4 linked regions of the Drosophila melanogaster genome follow. The protein of the gene in region 2 interacts with the protein of the main gene of each other region in a pairwise test. Each region holds a gene or a part of one and is shown on either strand. Other genes may lie near its edges. The genes, in order: CG15152, DCTN3-p24, CG7164 and CG5516.

What was found.
Region 1: the proteins of DCTN3-p24 (region 2) and CG15152 interact in a two-hybrid assay, tested with the Drosophila melanogaster proteins (one large-scale study listed by BioGRID).
Region 3: the proteins of DCTN3-p24 (region 2) and CG7164 interact in a two-hybrid assay, tested with the Drosophila melanogaster proteins (one large-scale study listed by BioGRID).
Region 4: the proteins of DCTN3-p24 (region 2) and CG5516 interact in a two-hybrid assay, tested with the Drosophila melanogaster proteins (one large-scale study listed by BioGRID).

The regions. Positions count from the first base shown.
Region 1 is NT_033779.5:18,112,848-18,115,789, reverse strand, and holds CG15152 (uncharacterized protein), read right to left. Parts: upstream 1,244-2,942; 5' UTR 1,108-1,243; coding exon 769-1,107; 3' UTR 570-768; downstream 1-569. Other genes in the region: CG44476 (uncharacterized protein), read left to right, coding at 2,655-2,659, 2,720-2,942.
Region 2 is NT_033778.4:23,060,855-23,064,585, forward strand, and holds DCTN3-p24 (dynactin 3, p24 subunit), read right to left. Parts: upstream 1,740-3,731; 5' UTR 1,657-1,739; coding exon 1,078-1,656; 3' UTR 566-1,077; downstream 1-565. Other genes in the region: Fatp2 (fatty acid transport protein 2), read left to right, coding at 1-403; CG9890 (uncharacterized protein), read right to left, coding at 1,955-3,066, 3,121-3,367.
Region 3 is NT_033779.5:7,779,597-7,783,260, reverse strand, and holds CG7164 (uncharacterized protein), read right to left. Parts: upstream 1,797-3,664; 5' UTR 1,627-1,796; coding exon 1,410-1,626; intron 1,350-1,409; coding exon 721-1,349; 3' UTR 501-720; downstream 1-500. Other genes in the region: Brd7-9 (bromodomain containing 7/9), read right to left, coding at 213-270; Uro (urate oxidase), read right to left, coding at 2,016-2,500, 2,570-3,143.
Region 4 is NT_033777.3:15,962,282-15,965,290, reverse strand, and holds CG5516 (uncharacterized protein), read right to left. Parts: upstream 1,408-3,009; 5' UTR 1,241-1,407; coding exon 1,194-1,240; intron 1,127-1,193; coding exon 643-1,126; 3' UTR 530-642; downstream 1-529. Other genes in the region: CG32856 (uncharacterized protein), read left to right, coding at 107-217, 272-484; CG4287 (uncharacterized protein), read left to right, coding at 1,752-2,753.

The sequences.
Region 1 (2,942 bases), on a different chromosome or scaffold from region 2:
AAAAATGCAAATGTGAAAATATTTAGAGAACTATTTCCATTGGGAACTGGCATAGTTGAAAATTCGTTGTATTTTTTCTTTTTCAAGTGAGAGTGGAAATAATTTTAATAATTTTGTGTGCCAAACACCGGCGCAGATGCGGTTTGTGACACTTCCTTTAATAAACAACAGCGTTAAATAATTGAATTTCCACTCTCCATCGCTAAGCCGCTATTAATGAATTTTTAATTAGCGTGCTTAATTTAATTAGTTAATTGATAAGGGAATCTTTTTTATGTACTTTGCTTTGTTAATCTCTGTGATGTATGGAGCTTTAATGTGTCACTACAACATTTGTCCTTTATACATCGACAAACAAAATGCGTATTTATTTTGCAGTTAAATGGCTTGAATTCGTGATTCTTTCGTTCACTTTTGTTTGCTTATCTCACACAAAGCCCTTTATCTGGCCACCTTGTTTCGCTCTCTAGATTACGTTCATTTATGGGCCGTAAATAATTAGTTAATTGAACCGGAATTATCGGAAAACGTTAAAAGCACTGTCTAGTCAAAAATAAAACACATGGATTATGGGATTTCTTTCTTTACTTTGAACTTATATTAAATCATGATTTTTTGTTCTTAGCGCCTAATCAGTAAAGCCGCTTCCTTTTTAGTTAAGCTTTGCATTTGCTAGCAGAACACAGTTCGATTGCCACTGTTTGAAAACAGAACGTAGCTCGTAAGTGCGATAACGCTCTAAATTAGTCACGACACGTACATATTATTTCACCGCACTTTTATAGACTGCACCTCCAGCCAAATCATCACAGCGGCTATAGCCACATATATAGCCACGATCATGAAGATCTGCAGGGGACTGGCGGTGAAAACTTGGACCACCAGCATCACGGTTCCCAGAATAAACACCCCGGACAGGAAGCTGACCATCAGTATGGTGGACCAGTTGCGAAACCAGGCGTGCTTTTTATCCGGCGGCGGTACAAAAATCGGTTTCAGCGGGCTGTACTCCTTCTTATACTGAGTCTCGTATCCGCTGGTAAAGTCAACCTCATCGTGGTACGTCCCCGGACCCGAGGTTCCAGCCTTAGTCTCATCCGTGTCCATTTCAAAACGCGTTCTGCTCTCGACTAAAGAGCGATTCGCTGGTCTCCGGGCATTTTCAGCGGTTTTTTCCTTCCCTCTTTTTCATGATTACCAATCAGTTTGGGGTCTGGGTTATTATCGCCACGGCAGAAGGTGGTAATTGAGGCAACAACAAGGCAAACAGTGAACCGTCAAGAGCTGACAATCTTCTTTTTGTTGCTTGTGACTCAGATAAGATAACTATATAAGTCTGAGAAAACCCGTCAAACGAGAGCGGAGAAGAGTCTCAAAATGACAAGAAAATCACATTGAAGTAAGAGATTGCGAAGAGAGATCAATTTGTTCTACGTTATCAATTTATGCTTACTTACGAATCATCAAACCCTATCAACTTTGATAACAATCTATTAAAAGCGATAAATGTTTTACATTCATATATTAGGCATTTCAGTACTTATATACTTCTGGCACTCTGTTTCCGTCTTGAGAGATTCTCTTTTTTGTCAGTTTCCCCGCTTTCAGCTATCTGAAGCTCCTTCTTCAGTTCCGTCGCCGGCTTTAAAGGCTCCTTCTTGCCTTGCCTAACCAAGCGACATTGAGGGCTTTCTTCGCCGTGTTTCGTTCTTTTCGACAAACAGCAGTGCTTTGCGGATCATTTAGCTTGAACAACCCACAATGCCACCAATTTCAGCGTATTTTTTACCTTTAGAGATCATGTTTTTAATCAAATTTCTTTTTTCGACGGTAAAATGCTTGCCGCGACCCATGACTAGAGAACTTTTGGTCTTCGTTTGGAAAAAATTCAATTAAAACCTTTAATACAACTCCTTTTTCAAAATTTGTCGAAAAAAACCCAAAGCAATCACTCTATTATTCAGCAAATACGTGGTCAGTGCTATTTTTGTTACCGCCTCATTTCGCGCACTTTTGCAGCAAGTGCCCAAAAACAAAAAGAACCTTTACATTGAGAGACCATAAATTTCTTGCTCAGAGAGCCAACATATGGTACTTATTATTCATGCAATCTGACTTTAAAAAATATAAACATTTAATAATTATTTTTAGGAAATGAACTTTCCACCTCCAGTAGTGCTATTATTTTAACCGCAGCTGTATATATTTCCGTCTTGAGAGGTTCTCTTTAATGTTGTCTCTTAGTTTCAGTCAAATTCTCTGAAAGCTTTGGTTTTTACTTACAAATACCCTTTCTAGGGTTCTTATGGTGAGTTTACTCCTCTCAGAAATTTTCTTAAATAATTATTTTATTAGTTCATATTTTTTCTTACACTAATTTTAGTTATTTATCTAATGAATGTACTTGTGATCTCAGACTTACTTTACAGATACCTCTTATATAGTTTTACTTAGGACGGTAGTCCCTTAAAAATTTGTCAATATATTATCATTTTTAATGGTGCAAGCTGCATACGATCCGAAAGATTTTAGTACAGTGTGCCTCCGTTCTTGAATTCGATTCCCTTGAATATTTTTTCATGTTTGCAGATGAGTGCCTTCATCCAGTTTATACAGAGCCTTCAAGCTGAAAAGATCAGAGTGCCTCCAAAAAAATGGGGTATAATACTTATTTGAAAGTATTTCAAAAGCATTAAAGTGATAATTTGTTTATTTAAAGTGAAGAAAAAGATGTCTTATTGGATAGAGATAGTTGCACCCTCAACGGAGTGGACCAAGAACAAACCGATGCGATTCATAACGACTCTAATATGGAAATATTAACTGAGGAAGACTCAAGGCCATATACTTTTTTGCAAAACTTTAATTTCGTTGGCTTATGTGTTCTTTATAATTTTTGCATGCTTTTAATTGTTCTGTCCATATACATCTACAAACGATGG
Region 2 (3,731 bases):
CCGCTGGAAGGGTGAGAATGTCTCCACCAGCGAGGTGGAGGCGCAGTTGAGTAATCTGGCTGGCTACAAGGATGTGATTGTGTACGGCGTAAGCATACCCAACACTGAGGGCAGAGCAGGAATGGCAGCCATCTACGATCCCACTCGGGAGGTCAACGTCAGCCAGCTGGGCGTGGAACTGGCCAAATCCCTGCCCAACTACGCCAGGCCGCAGTTTCTCAGATTCCTGCGCAAAATCGACCTGACGGGCACCTTCAAGTTGCGCAAGGTGGAGCTTCAGCAGCAGGGCTTCAATCCGGAGATCATCGACGATGAACTCTTCTACGCCCAACCGGATGGCGTGTATGCTCCACTCACCCCATCCGTATACGAGAGGATAGTTAGAAACGAGCTGCGATTCTAGGAGCGCCGGACTTTGTTCTTGGGAAGAAGAAAAGTCAAGACTGTGCCTTGTATGTTGGTGAAGAGGATATCCTTTGGATTCGGCTTGTGGTGCGCCAACTACTTTTAATTCTGGCTAAGTTTCTTATTGTCCGGACAATATAAACTTTAGCATTGGAAATTTACTGTTGAAAGAGCGTTTCCGCGGGTAAATTATTATTTTGTAACTATTTCCTTCTACAATTCCTACATACATAAGTGTCACATCGTATTGTATACATTGTATAGATAATAAAAATAAAATTCAGCCAATGATAAATCCATATTGTGCTCTATTATGTGATTATAGCATTTTCCTTCTGTAAGACAGGATTTTGATTGGTTTTCATTAGATTTGTAATTTAGTTTATTGTGCTTAGTTAAATAGTTTTTAAAAATGAAACTTACAATTGAAAGAGCATCATTAGCCACTTTACGTTGGAGTAGTTAGAAAATCTAATATCCCGGCTTCCTTAAACAGTTCCAATCAAATCGGGATGGCTTTAGCTACGATTACACTTTTCAATAGAACCTAGGTTACATCCATTGCTTGAGCAACTGATGCCTTCAGCTTAAGTGGAACCAGATTTTCAGGTGAACGGATTTGGAAACGGGGTCGTATAAAATACTTTCAGCAGTCTTTGGATCTATATCCGCTCAATCCTTGGGCGGCACATCCTTGCTCAACTCTGCACGCTTCCTCTGCTCCATGCGCTCCTCTACCTGGTCCAAGCGCTCGCTCATGGCATCCAGGGAGCTCAGCAGTCCCGCCTGGATCTCGCCATATCGCTTCATGGCCAGGACCAGACTCTCCTCGATAAGTTCGCTCTGCTGCGCGTACTCCCCGTTGTTCTGCGTTATGCCCTTTAGCTGCTCCAGACACTCGGCGGGAATGCTGCGGAAGTACTCCGCGCCCAGGGCCGGTTCCAGCTGCTTAATCCTCTCCAGCTGCTCGGCCTGCGTGTGCAGCTCGGGGGCCACGGCTTGCAGGTACACCTCCTTGGAGCGCACCTGCTGGTGCTCCTCCAGGAAGTTGGGGTCCAGGTACTTCTCCAGCTCGTCAGATCTCTTCACGCACTGCTGCAGTGCAGCACTTCCTGTGGTTGCTTCGCCCAGGATGGCGTGTGCCGAGCACAGGGCGTCGACCACGCCCTCGCCCACCTCAGAGTCCTGGACCGGACCCAGGACTCGTGTCAGGGCATCGATGCGCTTCTCCAGAATGTCCAGTGCCTCCATTTTTCGCTGAATTTCTCTTTATTTTGTTCGTTTTGATGGGAATGATGTCAGTCTGCAAAACAATCGATGTCCAACGAAAAGGTGGCAACGTTAGCTTGGTGGCAAGGTTCTTGTACTCGCTAAGCAGAACGAATTAACCCTTATGCGGACTAAAAAATATGGTATTTAAATAAAATATTTAGCTCCTCTGCATAAAGTTTTTGGTGCATACGTATCTATAAATATAGTACACACTTAAATTCCATTGCTATTTACTTAGTTTCTTTTAAACGTAAACTGTACAATACAAAAATCTCAGTTACAACAGCTTAAAATTCTCGAGGGACAACCGCTCCGCATCCTTGTTGATCTGCGCCAGACTATCCTCGGAGATGATGCGCACCGTATCGACGTCCGGGTCATCGCCTCCGGAATCATCCAGCACACACAGCAGACCATCGTTCTCGATGTACGGGAAGAAGAACTCGGGCTTGTCCCAGCTCTCCTTATCGCCGATTCCGTGGTGCGACTCTTGTGCCATGTGCTCCACGAGCAGCTCCTCCTCGTCGAACTGCAGATCGCAGGTCACGCAGCGCAGCAGGCACATTTGGCGGCGCAGGTAGTTGACCACCTTGACGCGTTGGTAGAAGTTCAGAGAGCTGGTGGCCTTCTCGAAATCCAAGCGATGAACCTCGTGCATGTGCTTCTTGAGGGCGGTGAAGTTGTCGCCGAGATGGTGGCAAAACAGGCACTTAATGGAGCTAGGCTCACCATCTGCCGCCCAATCCGACCAGTCCGAATCGTGTTCGCCATCCGAATCAGGGCGAGCGAAGTGCTTGTCGAAGTCCACGCTGCCGGTTTCAGGATCAGCAACTGTGGACACGGATGCCGTTTCCCGTCTTCGCTTTTGGAGGTGCTGTTTCCGGGGCGTGGGGGCCGTTGGTACACGATTGTAGTTGATAAGGAAGTACTTGTCGTACTCCCTTCGGTTCGGATTGATCCGCTTGTGGCCCTTCTTGCGCATGTGTTCCTTGAGCGTGGGCCGATCCCTGAAGATCTTCTCGCAGTAGAGGCACATTAACCGATTCAAGTTCTCCTCCAGGTGATCCAGCAGTTCGTCCACATACACCAGCTTCTCGGGCTTGCCGACCAACAGAAAGTGCTTGTCAAACAGATGGTCCAGATAGTCCGCCCTCAATCCCTTGATGATGGCCCTGCAGAAAAGGCACTCCTTGGAGAAGGTGCGGTCGGTTAGCTCGAACTGATGTCGCTCCAGGGCTTCACTTAGGCGCTTCTCCTTCAACCTTCGCCGCAGCTCGTAGTCCTGGGGCAGGATGTCACACAGCAGGTAGTACTTTTCGTTCTTGGCGTACTTGCCATCGGGCAGCTGATCCAGGAACATTGTGGTGCAATATTGCTCGAATTCGTGGGCTAAAATGGGTAACAATTATTAAATTTTCAGGGTAGGGTTGCTGATTCTCTCACTGTGAAACTCCTTTTCCCAGTACTGGAGGTAGTCCTCCAGAAGCGCTATATCCTCCACATCGGCGATGACCAGTCGGTGCTCCATATACAAATGCGCCAGGCAGTCATCTTTATCTGACGGAAATATGTACACCTTGTCGCATTTCAGGCACTTGATGGCCGTGTTCTTGGAGGGCTTGAGTTTCGAACTGCCAGTGATCTCCTCCAGCGAGGAATCCCCTCCTGAAACAGCCACCTCGTGCTCCATTTGTTTACGTTCTCCTGGTGCTCCACGAATAAGTGTGACCGCAGGTGCTTAGCGGCAAAATACTGTTTGCGAGATAAGCTTAATTATGACGTACACTGGAAACAATTGAAAATTTAATGAATTTAATTTAATGCACAAAAAAAATTAAATAAATACTTACAACTGTCTTATGAAGACTAAATAATCAAAAAATGATATTCAGTATTTTCGATGTAGACAACACGTACTGGAAATGTTAATATCCTTATAGGATATTATACGATTCAAATATTTGTAACTTATCTGTGAATTAAAATTCTGAAACTTACAAATACATTGTTCGTTAAGTTTTCAACAGACTATGATGAATCAGCAGCATCTTATC
Region 3 (3,664 bases), on a different chromosome or scaffold from region 2:
ATAGGTATTATAATGGGTGCTGAATAGTATTATTACTGCCTTTAGACGCGTAGATTATTTCTAACCATGCATTTTGTATTAATTGTGACAAATAATGTACACCCATTTTTTTCTAAGTGTAGGCATGCTCAAAAACAAGCGGCAAAATGTGTGAGCGAGATGGCCTATGGCAACAGGGGCTCACGTAGACACAGCACTTTCATTTCACTCACCTTCATATTTCTCGCGTCGCTCCGACTTGTTTTTCTTGTGCTTCTTGGAGGAGCCCATCTTAGGCTCCCAGTTGTCGAACAATTAGGCAAATCGGTGAAAATGGTAAGCAAAATAATTAAAAACAAAAATCCGCTGGCGAAAAACAGACGCCATGAGCAGTGTGACCGTTCCTTTTGTCCAGAGAATTGTAAGACGTCTCGCTGATATTAGCCATTTGCTTTCCAACACTAAAAGCAATTGATAACATATCGATTTTTACGGCTTTGAATTTAAACTAAAAAATTGTTAATTAAATTGTAAATTTGTTAATTTAAATTTATTTTATAATGTCAAAGATTTAAACAGTAACAGATTTTATCAGTAAATTTTTCTATGTACTTATGCTTGTAAAGTGAAAGAATACTTTACTGAAAAGAACAATTATTGTAGTTTATGCCTTATTTTGAAAATAATTTTTTTTTTGCCGAAGTTTAAATCATTTTTTTTTCTCATTTTTTACTTTGCATTTCACCGAACTTTTCGTTTGAGAATAGGGGCCTTGTTGGTCAGCACACTTTGCCGGTTCATCGGAATGGCAACGGTCCGGGCCTTTCGTTTGCCACCCGAGCGGCGATTGGTGGAGGTCACCATGTTTTGCGTCGGCTTCTGCAGGGCGGTCGACTTCCTGAGACTCGCCTTGTTGGCGGCACTGAATAGGGTGCGCGTCGAGTTGAGGCTCTGCAGCGAGGTGTCCAGCTTGTTGCGAATCCTGTCCAGATCGGCACGCATTCGCTGGATATCCATCGCTATGGTGTGTCGATCGCTTTGCAGCTTCTTGTGCTGCTGCAACATGGTCTCCAGCACTTTCTTCTGTTGGATGACTTCACGGATGCGATTGTGCTGCTCAAAGCCACGCGATCTCTTCTGCTTCTGGTTGATGCAGGCCTTGACCTTCGCCAATGATTTGATGGCAATGCCATGGCCACTGTCCGCCTTCGAAGAGTTGCCGCCACCCTTGATGCGCCCCGCCGACTTGCGTTGCGGTTGCTTGGACACCAGTTTCGATGGCAGTGGTGGTGCAACTACTGGTACTGGATTCGGAGTTCCAGATGTGGGCAGCGGCCCCGTTGGCCGTGGTCTTCGTGGTGCTCGTACCGCTAAGTAAATGATTGATTGGTTTTGAAAGTTTCTGGTTAGTTTTTAGCACAACAGCTTACACTTCATGGTCGAGTGAATATTGGCCACCATATTGTCGTAGGTCTTTCTGGTGTCGGGCAACAGGTAACGTCCTGGCAACTGACTCGATCTTAGCGAGGCCTTGATCCTGTCCCTCCTGGACAGCTGCGACAGCCTGGTCTTGGCGCTCTCCTCCTGTTCCCAGTCCCTTCGCAGCTGGGTGGTCAGGATGTGGTGCAAGGCCAGTCGATTGGTCATGGTCACGCTGTTTGTGGCTAAATGGTTATTTGCTAATTTCGAATTTAGATTGCGAATTTTGACTGCCAAAGTGGTCGAAAATTGTGGAATTTATTTTATATATTTTTTTTTATGAACGATGCCTCATTTTAGGATTTTAGAAAATAGTTCTGATATAATTTGGATTTATTCAGCCAAGGCAAGGGTGATCTCGAAATATGGTTTTGCAATCGATTTATTCATTTTTACACTTTATTTTTTATTAGTTTATTATTGTTTAAATAAGAAGAACGCAGCATATGATTCGTTTGCTTAAATAATTTAAAATACATATATAACTTCGCCGCATGCAATTATGAATTGGCTAAATTGATTTAGATTGATTTAGATTTACTACATCAGAGATCGATCTACAGGTGACTATTGATGTTCTTCCGGGCCAATTGGGCATAGATGGTGCCATGTGGCTTGTCCACTGGGATGAAAACTTCATTGTTGTCGCCGGGTGCAATCTTCTGGAAGGGCTTCGTATCGAAGTTGAAGTAGTGCTTGTTTGGCATGGTCATCGAAATGACCGACACCTGCGGCAGGACATCCAGGACCTGTCTTTCACTCAGATACAGGGTGTGCTGAACGGAGGGCGAGGACACGCCCACCTGCGGATCGCCAGCAAAGTTACGAATGATTATGTTTTTGACCGTTTGCCAGGCCCTGAGGAAGTCCAAGTTCTCGGTATCGGAGTACTCCCAGGAGCAATCCACCACGGTGCTAAAGATGCGATCATACTGATCTGGCAGAGATCTGAACTCATCGTTCACGAAGTTCACGAACGAGGATTGGGTCGTCTTCAGCACCCGGAGACCCTTGATGCCCGTGATGACCGTTTGTTTGGGATCTAAAACAGTAAAGGAGGTGATAATTTAGTAGTTTTAAATATTATTGCTTTAGTTATGTTTGACTTAACCTGTTCTCCTTATAACCACATCGCAGTAGTGAAGAGCGGTGGGCGTGAATATAAAAGCGTGATTGTGCAGTGATCTGTTGTCAATGGAGCTGAAGTCGCAGTTCCCTTGGACTCCGTTCTCGCACTTCCCATTGACGTTGGTCCTGGTCTCCTCCTGGCAAACTCGCTGCCAGGGATACGCCTCCACATGAACGTGCGCCTCCTCCACGTGCGAGTATTTGTTAATAAAGTGCCTGGCCAGGAGCAGAGCAAACTTCTCGGGACTTTCAATGCCATGCTTTTTCGCCAGCAAATAGACGGTGTTCTTCTGCGAATCGGTGGCCACGATGTCCGAGTTGTTGCCCTGGTAGTAATCCTTTTTGCTGTACAACTTCAGGTGAGTGCCCACCTCGAATTCCTGGATGGCGTGCACGGGTCCGTTGCGGCTGACATGCAGCACCTTGACCGCATCCTTGCCGTATCCGTGATCGGTAATCTCGTACTGATACGGCTTACCATGCTCATCCATGCCGGCGGAATTCTTTGGGGTCTGGTGGTTAGCCGCAGCTGGCTGTCTGAGGGGCGTGGCAAACATTGTGACTGCAATCACTCTCACTTTGATACTGATGATGCCATCAATTTCCTTGCCGCCTTTTATATCAGAACACCTGGATAACAACACAAATCTTTGTGTAGTTAGGGATTTTTTTTAGCGCATTTCGTAGAAAGCAAGTGGCTGGGAAATCGTATATCATCACTCTCACTTAGAGTATTAAAGGTCTAACTCAAATTACGACTAGTAGCGCTGATAATCGCGGCCTGGTGCCAAGTAAACATGACCAAGACTCAAGGCTATGTTTTCTATCTCCAAAACTTTGCATCTTGTTTACTTCACACTCATCTAACCAAATCCTTATTTTTGCAATATTACGTAGGAGATAAGTCGCAAATGCCGTTTTAACCATTAGCATCACTTTCGGGGGTAAATGAAAATTGGTAAATAATTTTTACAGATCACATCTCTGAATTTTATTCTTTTTTAAAATCTTAATTTCTCTCTTATTCACGCACGAGTCACTATTATTATTAAAACCTTGAAAATGTGTGCGTTGAAAA
Region 4 (3,009 bases), on a different chromosome or scaffold from region 2:
ATCTAAATTCAATTCATTTATTTCCTTGTCCATTGGAAGTATACCATATAAGGCCTTCATTAAAAAGGGGTCTTTCTAAGGTTAAAGTTTATTATTTGTTTTCAAAATGCTGCAAACAAATCGAGTCCTTCAAAAAGAGCAGGCTGAACTATTTGCTATCCAGAAGAAACTCGACCGAGTGCTCCCCGTCATTCAGGAGGCATTAAATTCACTAAAGGTATCTACAAATCTCTTGCTTCAATGACGGTTTTCCCAATTCAGTGTTCCACAGGTAGAGGAGCTGCATCTCAAGTCTCAGGTGGTGGGCCAGCAGAACCCAAAAACGCAGTGCTCCCCTGGAAGGGATCCCCTCCACATAGATCTGTCGGTGGAGCAGTCCCCAATCACAACTGTGATGGAGTCCCATCTCGTCAACAGCCAGCAAATAGATCTGGATCTCGTAAGCCAAATGAGGCGTTTCGAGGAGGAAGTCGACTCGGATTAAAATTGTTATTAAGGCTGGAACTTTACCAGAAAAACGTACATGTTGGGAGCATTAAAATATAAACAATACAGTACCAAAAGTATGTTCATTTTCGGTGTAAGTGTGGGAAAACTAAACTAGTAAAGCTACATACTACAGACCACAAATCGGTCTCTTGATTACTCTTGATCGTCAGAAGATTCAGGTGAACTCCCGGCTCGTTTTTTCTTTTTTTGTGGAGCTCCCTGCTTTTGATCCTCGCTGCTGTCGCTGTCCGAGCCACTTCCACTGGAGTCTGACGAGCTGCCTTCCTCGTCGTCCGAATCCGAACTGGAGCTGCTCGAGTCTGATTCGGATGAGGAGCCCGATTCGCTGCTGCTGTCTGAGCTGTCCGACGAGCTGGAGGAGGACGAGGAGCTCTTGCTCGTTTTCCGCTTTCGACGGACCTTCTTTCCTTCCGAGGAAGCCACTTCCGAGTGCTCCTCCACCTGGTTCTTGGGTGCGTCAGCCTCCTTTTGGGACATACGCTTGCTTAGCTGCTTGGTACGCGAGCTCCGGTGGACGTATTTGCGCTTCTCCTTGCACTCATAGCTCCAGTGTCCGATCTGCAGGCACTTCTGGCACCGGATGCCATTGGGAAAGTCTGCTGCTTGCTTTGCGGATCTGTTGTTACAGAATTCGTAGGTTACAACAAAAAAGCCGGCTGGGGTACTTCTTAAACGCGACTAACCTCTTCTTTTGCGCTAATTTGCGGGCAGCTAGGCCCACCAAAGTCATCCTGAAGCACTCGAGCAGACGCTGTTGGGAGGAAATCTTGATGTGGGTGGAAACCAACGTGGCCGGGTGGAAAAACTGGGAAAAATGAGTATCAAAAATGTTTTTTATAATTTTTTTCGTCACATTAGCGATAGTCCACTGAAAATTGTATACTTCGCAAATCGACTGTATATGGTATGGTCACCCTTATTGTTATCGGCTATCGAACTCAACAGCTGCTTGCCTAATTTGTGTCTACCTGGTTTATGTTGAAATGTCTGAATTTTAAAGTTAATTAAGCCAAAATTTAAGTGCATTATGCATGGTCGTAAAAAAAATAAGAAATAAGCAACAGCTGACAGCTATTTCACCCTTAATTGACTGGCACAAATTGCTTGGTCAAACAATAACAAAAGCGCTGTGCTGACTAAGCGGCGAAAGTGGTTGCAACAAAGTCCAATCACTATCAATCGGTAAGGTTGCTGCAGGTCATTTGCTGACCAGTAATAAAGGATTTCATACACAGCTAGCCATGGACAACAGCGCGTTGATGCCACAGGCGAGCGGACGTCATATGCCGCCCGAGGAACTGGCCATGCAAGCACTAACCAAGCAGCTTTACAAGTCTCGTCTCTTCCGCGGTTATTATATGGAACGCTGCTTGGTGGAGCAGGTGTCCGGCTACCGGGACGTGGTGGTGCTTCAACGCAGTGAGCGAGAGTTGGAGAAGCTGCTGCACTCGAGTGCCGGCCAATTACAAAAGTTTTATCAACGCTTCGTGCCCAATATGTGGGTGGGCATCACCTATGGGAGTTACGGAAGTTACCAGCACAAAGCAGATCCTGGTCAACTGGAAACCTGCATCTGGACAGAGATGAATGATCTGGCTTTTGGAGAGTATTGGTTTAGCATCAAGACCCTTCGCTTCCGGGACCATGAAGTCCAGTTCAAACTGAAGATGATAAGGCCCGTGGAGCCAGAGCTGATGGCGACGCCGAGGAGATCACTGATTCTTAATAGAAGTAGCCCTGTTAAGGCGATCACAGCGGGTGGGGAAAACTCCTCCTCCAAGCCGGATGAAGTGGCGGAGCAAATTCAGCTGGGCCTTAATGATTTTTTGGCTGTGCTGCAACAGTGGGGTGATGGAGTCAAACAAACCGTGTACGACTTCATGACCAACGATGTCAACAAGAGGAACATTTTGGGCACCATTCGGTTTCTGGGTCTACTAATTTTCTCTGCCTTGGGTGGAGCCGCACTAGCGCTACGATTCCTAGGCGTATTTGCTGTGCGATTCCTGTTTGAGCTGAGTCGTTTCACACATACAGCCACTCCAATAGTGTTTAAACTAATCGAGTTTCTGAACAAGATTGTGGGTGCTATCTTCATACTTTTGACCATGATTTGGAAAGACATTGTCACTCGTGGACATCCGGAACCGAAACAGCAGCAGCTGCATCTGGAGGCAAGTAGCCGCTTCAAGAGCATCCAATACGAGCGTTCCGAACCAAATCGACGTAGTCCCCGGTGGTGACCCGCCACTAAAAGCACATTAATGTCTAGCAAAGTGTTCCGAGGTGTAAGGGCAACGAAAAATCATTGAAATTGTGTTACTAGCCGTAAGCAAAGCGAAGCCAATCCCAATCCCCGCTTCGAGTCCGAGGGTATTTGCCCTGCAAATATGGGGACACCTATGAGATTTACAGATTTTAGTCAATTGCAATATTGTAAATTATTAATTGGCGTGCCACTGGCGCACAATCGCATGCTTATTAACCCCACTGTTAATT